Oryctolagus cuniculus: one gene and its partner. The protein of the gene in region 2 interacts with the protein of the main gene of each other region in a pairwise test. Links are inferred from orthologs where the notes say so. Each region holds a gene or a part of one and is shown on either strand. Other genes may lie near its edges.

Evidence for each region.
Region 1: the proteins of CCDC116 (region 2) and BEX3 interact in binary tests that used the Homo sapiens proteins (3 or more experiments, as listed by UniProt). The two-hybrid records come from large-scale screens. The link is inferred for Oryctolagus cuniculus from reciprocal best matches to the Homo sapiens genes CCDC116 and BEX3.

What each region holds. Positions count from the first base shown.
Region 1 is NC_091453.1:90,036,020-90,039,515, reverse strand, and holds BEX3 (protein BEX3), read right to left. Parts: upstream 2,077-3,496; 5' UTR 2,022-2,076; intron 2,020-2,021; exon of another isoform or gene 1,832-2,019; intron 1,656-1,831; 5' UTR 1,570-1,655; intron 1,206-1,569; 5' UTR 1,173-1,205; coding exon 837-1,172; 3' UTR 591-836; downstream 1-590. UniProt on the Homo sapiens protein: May be a signaling adapter molecule involved in NGFR/p75NTR-mediated apoptosis induced by NGF. Plays a role in zinc-triggered neuronal death.
Region 2 is NC_091452.1:29,153,864-29,158,354, forward strand, and holds the start of CCDC116 (coiled-coil domain-containing protein 116), read right to left. Parts: upstream 3,105-4,491; 5' UTR 2,816-3,104; intron 2,552-2,815; 5' UTR 2,500-2,551; coding exon 2,428-2,499; intron 2,076-2,427; coding exon 1,530-2,075; intron 1,408-1,529; coding exon 823-1,407; intron 1-822.

The DNA of each region.
Region 1 (3,496 bases), on a different chromosome or scaffold from region 2:
CCTTGAAGACTCATGTCTTCAACAAGAACCAAATCAGTAAGGAGCAGAATATGGATATGGCAGGGGAGCAAGATTGCAAACAATGGAAGAATGGAATAGGAGAACCCACATATTTTTGCTTTCTGTACTTGTGAAAATGGGTGAGAACTCCTTCCAGTCCTCCCAAAGTATGCGAAAGGAGCCTATTAAATGCTGGGAGTTAAAGAGGAGCCAGCCCAACAGTTTCATCCCTCATCTGGTCCACTTAGCAGCCCTGTAAGATAAGCATTGTTCCTCATTTCACAGGACTCTAAAGTAATGTAACTATAATGAAGGGAGGAATTATTCAGTTAAGACTGGAAAATATCAAGGTTTACTCTTCTTTAGGTCTGTTGAGCCAGTAATTGTTATGTACCTGCATTTTATTCAGATACTCGTTGAAAAATCATTTCCATTGCTTCTCAAACTCCAGATAAAAAGAGGAAAAGTCACACAATATCTCGCCACACAGAAATGCATCCCAGTGAACACTTTGCTGTGTTTCATTTCATACTTTTGGCTCCTGTTTTATGAGTCTATACTCTTCAATGAGACAATAATAAATATCTAGATTGCTTTTCAATTGCTTTATTAACTTTACATTTTTCCATGCAAATGGATGAAACTCTACTCTGACAGAAACTTAGTCTGGGTGCAGATGCAATTTTCAATTAGAAGCTGGCAACACAAGACCCACTTGACACATGGAAATAACATAAGGTTCACAGCAAATGGATCCATAAAGGCATGTTGGGAAAATGCAAGGAAAAGGAAATCAATGGGAATCACAGTATTAATCTCACGGAAAAGGGCAGAAGTCAAGGCATAAGGCAAAATTCATCATGATGGTCATGGTGATTGGAGAGCTCCCCCATAAGGATACGCAAACAATTCCTCAGCTGCAACTCCCTAAGTTTTCTCCTGATTTCTCTCATCTCCTCCATGAACATTTCCATATCATCCCCATCTCCACCCATCCCATCATTGCCCTGCCTATTGGGTATGGCCCATCGAAAATTAGGGGCAAGTCGGCGAGCCTGTCCCCGTCTGTTATTTCCTGCAGGCTGGTGGCCTTCACCTCCTCCCAAAGGGCGGTCTTCTCCATTCGGCATGGGCTGCTCCATTGGTTCGTTTTCCTGGTGGATATTTGCCATGGTGAATTGAATTTTTTTTTTCTGGCTGTGTTTCTTTGGACACAAGTAAAGGGTGAGGAGAGACTGAATGCGTGGTGCACTGACCAGCAGGATTCAGAGCCCTGACACCACAGGTTTAATTTTTCCCACCTTCGACGCTTCGTGCGCCCTCTAGGGGGCCTCCAATGCGAGCCCCTCCCTCTAGCTCTCTCTCCTCCTCCTCCCCTCATCCCCCATCCCCTCCAAAGCCCACCATTTTTCTTTTCCCAGGATTCTTTCCCAGAGCTCTGCAGGCACCAAAATGGAGGACAGGGACAGGGAGGGGGAGGGGGCACGGGTCGCTGGAGGGGTCTGGGGTCCCAGATAGGGTTTCCGCACGCTCCTCCCCGCCGCCCCCACCCCGGTCTGTCCCACCGACCTGGGCCTATCCTTGCGGTCTCCTCCTCCTCCCGATTCTCGCCGCCGGCGCGCCGCCGCGACACTCAGCGCCTCAGACCTGCAGACCTGCAGACGGCGGGGTCGGGGAGAGGGGGCGGCTGCAGGCGAGCGCTCGGCACCGCTACGCCCCCCCTCCCCGCCCCCTGCCGGCCCCTTCCCGCCGCCCTGGCCCCCGCGCCTCCGTCCAGGCCCTCAGCGGCCGCGTCCCTCCGCAGAGCCGCCCCGCCCCCTCCGGTGTTCACCGTTTTCCCGCAGCGTCCCGGGGCGGGGGGACTTCCTCTGGCTCCTGCCTGCTCTGCTGCTCTCCCCTCCAGCACCCCAGCCGCCCCTGCACCCCTACTCCTGGGGGCCACTGTATAAACAGAAAGCGGCGGGGCCCGCTGCGCTGTTCTCCTCGCCCGCCGCTGCCGCCCTGGCCGCCGGGGCCCTCACCTGCTCCGCTCTGCCCGGGCCCGATGCCAGCCCGCCGAGCGCAGGGCAGCGGGGAGCTGGTAGCCAGACGCGAGTGACGACTGCACCCGAGGCTGCGTCCCTCTGCAGCTCGGGGTCACGTGACGGCCGCGCGTCACCGCCGCGCTCGCCCCCGACTCCAGCGGCCAGTGTTGCTGAGCCCCCCGCCCCCAGCAGCCACAAGCACACGCATCCTTTACCCACCCCCCGCCCCCGAAACACTCACACCGCCTATCTTTGTGCGGTGGTGCCCCGATGTACACCGCCCTGTCACTCATCTCCATACTCTCCAATCTGAGGGCCTACAAGTGGCATCATCGCCTTATGGTTGGAATTTGCTCGCTGCTGGTTTCTAAGGAAGTTCTGTATTATCTTCCATCACCCGCATTCCCACCTCACTGCATTCTTGGTTTTGACCTTTTCTGCTTTCTCTCCTTTCTCCTTGGCTTTGAACTTTCCCCTGTGCCCTCTCTCCCCATCTTGCCCTTTCAGTCACCAATGCCCACCTAGCCGCTAAGTCTTACCCTGCTAGGAAGTTTAGAATAAGGACTGAGTTGAAGAGGCAGAAGGGGACTCGTCAGAAAGGGAGATGAGGAAGGGGAATGGGCTGTGTATACTTTTCTATTTCCTTTTTTTTTTAAGTAGCATGCCTCAGAAAATTAGAAATAACCAGTTTTCATTTTTGAAAGAAATGCTTCATCCTGCAGAATGAAAAAGCCTCATTGTTTATGTAGACCTGTACCACACAGAAAATATTTTCTCTGGGCTCCACACAACATTAACATCACTTTGGAAACATACTGTACTGCTGGCCTGTTGCAAAATTTTGTTTGGAAAAAGGAGGGACCCTTCCTGAATACAGCTGGTGTTTGCAATGTAATCTGTAAAGTAAATCTTCAGAGAGAAGTCTGGTTGTCAGACTTAGGGCATTTTATAAAACTTTGTGTGATGGTTTTGATACCCCCAGGCATCAGAGTAAAGGAGCCTTTTTATTCCCTGCCTTCCTTTCCAAACTTTCCAAACCACCCTGACAAATATTTTCTTAGAAGGAGCTCAGAAGTTAAGTCTCTAATAGTCAGAAATTAGACTCAAAGCCATCTACTTTTTGATGTCTTTCAAAAATATTAGAAATAAACCGGGGTTGTGTGTGCAGTGACTAAAGACTGAAACTCATCCCAAGTACAAACGTTCTGTTCTTCAACTTGAAATCCTTTTTTAAACAGTTATCACAGCTAGAGAGATAACATAAAGAAAGGGGCATTGTTATGAAAAAGTATTTAGTAGTTGTTGATTGTGATAAAAAAAAAAGGAAATCATCATATACTGCCCTAAGACAAGACAGACCAGACAAATGCTTTACTGCCTCTGGTTTGGGCCCCAAACTCTTATATATATAAATCTCCTACCCTGCAATACTATGGGGGACATTGAATAAAGGAAGAGCATACACTAGTGCA
Region 2 (4,491 bases):
GCAGGGACAGTGCCTGTGCCGGGATACCCCCCCCAGGGGCGAGCCACCTGCTCTTTGCTATCTTCCCTTTCTGGGCACCCCCCAGTTCCGCCACTTAGCAGCGCACACGCATGCGCGGAGTGAGCCCCTGCCCCTGGGTTACAGGCAGCCAGACCTAGAATTCAAGCCTGCCCTGGGCCAAAGGCTGCTGTCCGTGAGGGATGAGAAAGGCCCTTTCTCGTGCTGCAGGGCCTCCAAGATTCAAAATCAATGTTGAAGAGGAGAGGAAAAAAAAAAGACCCAGGATAAAAAATAACTTTTATTCTTCTTCTTCTTTTTTTTTTTTTTTCTTTTTAGATAAACACCCTCCATCGGCTTTTGTCCCCTGCCCGGGAGATTTCCAACAGCACTGGGCAAGAGGCCTGGTCCCTGGGGCCGCCCTGCCTGGTGACAGCGCTGCTAGCAGTGGTGGGTGAAGGAGCCCTTGGCCCACAGTCTAGGTCCCAGGGAATGCAAGCCCTGGCAGAGAGAAGCCGAGGACTGGGAAAGGCTTCTTACTAAGGATGTGGTGGGAGAGGGCATGGGGACGAAGTAGCGGGGAGAGGACGGGCAGGAGGACAGGGGTGGAGGCGTGATCGGGCCCCTGAGGCGCCCATGGCTGGAGGCCACCTCCACCGTGACCCCAGGGGCTGGCAGCGTGAGGTGCAGGCCCCGCCAGGGCCGGGCCCTGTGGCTGGAGCTCAGGGACACAGGCGGTTTCTGGGATTCGGGCTCTGAGACAGGCCCCTCCTGCTTGGGGTGATGTGAGAGGCTTGGGACAGCGGGCTCTCCCGTGGGTGTCACCTTGAGCTTGAATCTGGTGGCACTAGTCATGGAGGGGGAGCCCCGTGTGCCCTTGCTTTTCCTGCGCTCCGTCCTGGGGATGGAGGTGGTGGTGTTGGGGGATGCTGCCTCCTCCTTGTCGGTGGGCGAGGCCAGCTGGGAGCCTGGGGGCAGCAGATTGTAGTGGAGGGGCAGCTCTGATGAGGCCTCCGCGTTGGCGGGGAAGAGTGGGCAGCCGTCGTGCCGCCGGGCACCGCTGAGCTTGTCCACAGCTTGGCTGACCACGCTCTGCAGCGCGGGGAACAGGTGATGCTGAGCCAGAAAGTCCAGGGTGCAGTGGGGCTGGCGCAGCGAGCAGTAGCCAGGCAGGTCGAGGGCCGCCGGCTGGCTCAGTAGCGCCATGAGCTTTTTGTCGAACTCCTGCTTGAGGAAGCTCAGCTCCTCCTCACTGGGCGTCTGCCCTGATGCTTCCGGGGTGCCCGTGCTGGAACTCAGCAGGTCTGAGAACCAGGACAGGGGCTGCTCCGGGGACCACTGGCTGGTGGTCTGGCTGCCCAGGGAATCCCACCGCAGGGAGTCCTTCCGGGAGGGCTGACTCCTGCTTTTCTGCGGAGAGAGGGGGAATCACACTTGCCCAGGATCCTGCCAAGCCGCCAGCCCCTCCCGCCCCAGTCTCCGCCCCACCCCACCGCATCCCCACCCCGCCAAGCCTTGCCCTCGGATCTCACCCCTTTCCTCTCCAGTTTCAGTAACCGCTTGAGGCTCTGCTCCAGCAAAAGCCTGTCTTTCAGAGGGGGCAGGGAGCCTGAGCCTCGGGCCCCCAGGTCACTGCCCTGGCCATGGGACCCCAGCCAGCCAGCAGTGAGGCTGCTGCGGGAGTCCGACACGGAGCTGGAGCGGGATGGATAGTTGTTGGGGCGGCCAACACACAGGCTGGGCTGAGCGCGGTTCCGGCAGACCGTGCTCCAGGTGGGCCGGGCCCGGGGCCGCCGCCCTCCGCTGGCAGGCTCCACCACTGGATCTCGCACCTCCACCAGCGGCACGCCAGCCCCCGTCTTCATGGTGGCCATGCGCTCCGTGGCCTCCTCTACCACCGTCTGCAGGCTCTCGAGCACCTGACCCTCGGTCAGGAAATCCAGGAAGCTGCCGAAGGACTGGGGGCCCTTGGTGTCTCGGTGGGGACCTGGCTGCGCTGAGGTGCCCTGCGTGAACCGCGGGGGTGGCACACGGGCCGACCCCATTTGTGGCAATGGGGGTTTCTTGAGAGACTGCACCTGGGCAGACAGGCAGAGCACAGTGGGTAGTGGGCAGGGACACCTTTTACAGGGCGAAGAGGACCCTGGCTCCCCATATGCCCAAGGCCAGCTCCGTCGCCCCTGTCCGGAGCACCTACTTCTTCACCTTGAGCCCTAGGCCCCGAGGACCCCTCCTGGGGTCGCTGGAGGTCAGCGGGGGACACGGGGAAGGGAAGTGGGGGGTGATGAGGCCCCAGGAGGGCCCCGGGCAAGGACAAGGCAGCGGCAACGGCTGCTTAAGGAGGCCCACAGGCACCGAGCAAGGGGGCTGTGGTTTCAGGGGGAACGCACAGGGATCCCTGGGGTCAGCGTCCTGCGGGGGATCACTTACCCGGGCCACATAGGGACTGTGGCCGGCCTCATCGTCGGCCAAGTATCCCGAGTGGTAGCGGAAGCTGGCCATGGTGCGGGTGGCCAGGCCCCCTGCCGGCTTCCTCTCTTTGCGATCCACAGCACTGCGCGCAAGGACGGGGAGACGGCTGTGAGGGTCTATCCAGGCTCCAGGGGGACAGTCTCCCCGCACCCCGCGATCCCCAGGCATCTGCGGACAGTCTGATGAGCCTGGAGTATGTGTGTGTGTGTGTGTGTGTGTATTGGGGTGGGGGGTCCTCCGAAGAGCGTCAGAAATCGTGCCTCCGAGCATCTCTGGGTTTGAGTGCGCTCCCAGACCCCGCGTGACCCGGCCTCTGCTCCCGGCCCCGGCCCACCCACCCGCTCACCTGAGACCCCGGCTCTGCCGCGCGCGGTCCTGCGCCCCGTGCGCCCGCCGGAGGGAGGGCAGCGGCGCGGACCGCTTCGAGTCTCCAGGCGGCCGCCCAGCTCACTAATTTGCATACCGAGCTCTGATTGGCTTACACTGGGACGGTCGCCCGCTAACTCCCCCGACACAATGGTTGTGGGGGCGTGGTCTGCCTTGGTTCCTCCCTCGCTGGGCAGGGTTTCGCTCCGCCCCGCCCCATTCTCCGAGAGCCAGGGGACCAGAGAGAAGCTGCTACCCACCCCCCCACCCCCCGCCCCGACCCGGCTCGGTCCGGCCCCTGGAGCCGTGGTCCGCACCTGTGCTGCGGGGACCTTGCGAGCCAGAGCCACAGCTTTGACGGCACCACTGGGAGACAATACCCCCATCAGGGTGTCACCTGCTTGTGTGACAGGCGCCTGCTTTGGGCAGAGCTTGAGCCAGTCACCCCTAACCTCTGATATTTCCAAGGTCTGGCACCCAGTGGGTGCTCAGTATATGCCAGTTTCCACCTTCCAGTCTGTGACCCCGCCAGCCCCAGCCTCTGACCTTTCTGGGATCAGCTTCCCAGTGGGCGGCGGTGGTGGACTGGGGTCATCAGTGGTCGTTACAGCAGCCTCCTAGGCCAAGAGCCCGGGAGAAGGGCTCTGTGAAGCCTCCAGCCCTGTCCAGGTTCCCTGATGCCTTGTTTGTCATTTTCAGAGTCCACTCTGGCCCTGAGGTAGGGGGCCAACAGGACCGGAGCCAACCCGGGACCACCGGGCCAGGCCCAACTCCACTACTCCCCAGCAGGACCATGCCTCTTGGATCTGAGCCTCAGGATCTACGGCCATGGAACAAGAATGGCATTACCGACTTCATAGTCTGGGCACGGATAGACCCTTCCCCATAGGGAAAACCAAAGACAGTCGCGGATATAACAAAAACTCTGTTTTTCATGGTGACTCTTAGTCACAGGTAAGGAAAGCTTTCCTGGGCCAGAGAAGGGACAAAAGAAAAAAAAAAAAAAAAGTGATGTCGTGAAGGTGAAAGTTGTGGGCTGGCACAGGGCTTGAGACGGAAGCCGGGGCTATTGCTTTCCTATGAGGACAATGGTGTACGTGTTTTGTTCATTTTCTCATTATTTGAGGCTTTTACAAATCAAGGGAAACACTCTTAGAGGAAAAAAAATCATCAAAGGACAACAGGCAATCTGAAAAGGAGATGAAAATACCCAATAAAGTGAAAAAAGCCAAACACACTCTTATTAAAAAAAATTACAAGAATGAGCTAAGGGTGGGTACTTGTGGCACAGCAGCTTAAGCTGCAGCTTGGCATGCCATCCCTTATCCAAGCACTGGTTCGAGTCCCGGCCGCTCCACTTCCGATCCAGCTCCCTGCTAATGTGCCTGGAAATGCAGCAGGAGATGGCCTGAGTGCATGGGTCCCTGCACCCACAAGGGGAACCAGGATGGCGCTCCAGGCTCCTGACGTCTACCAGGACCAGCACTGGCTGTTGCAGCTATCTGGGGAGTGAACCAGCGGATGGAAAACTCTCCCCCTCCCCGCCCCGCTTCCTTCTCCCACTTTCTGTCTCTTTGCCTCTCGAATGAATAAGTCTTTAAAAATAATGAGATAAAACTCGCGTGATCATATTTATCTTCTCTAAATGAGACCAAA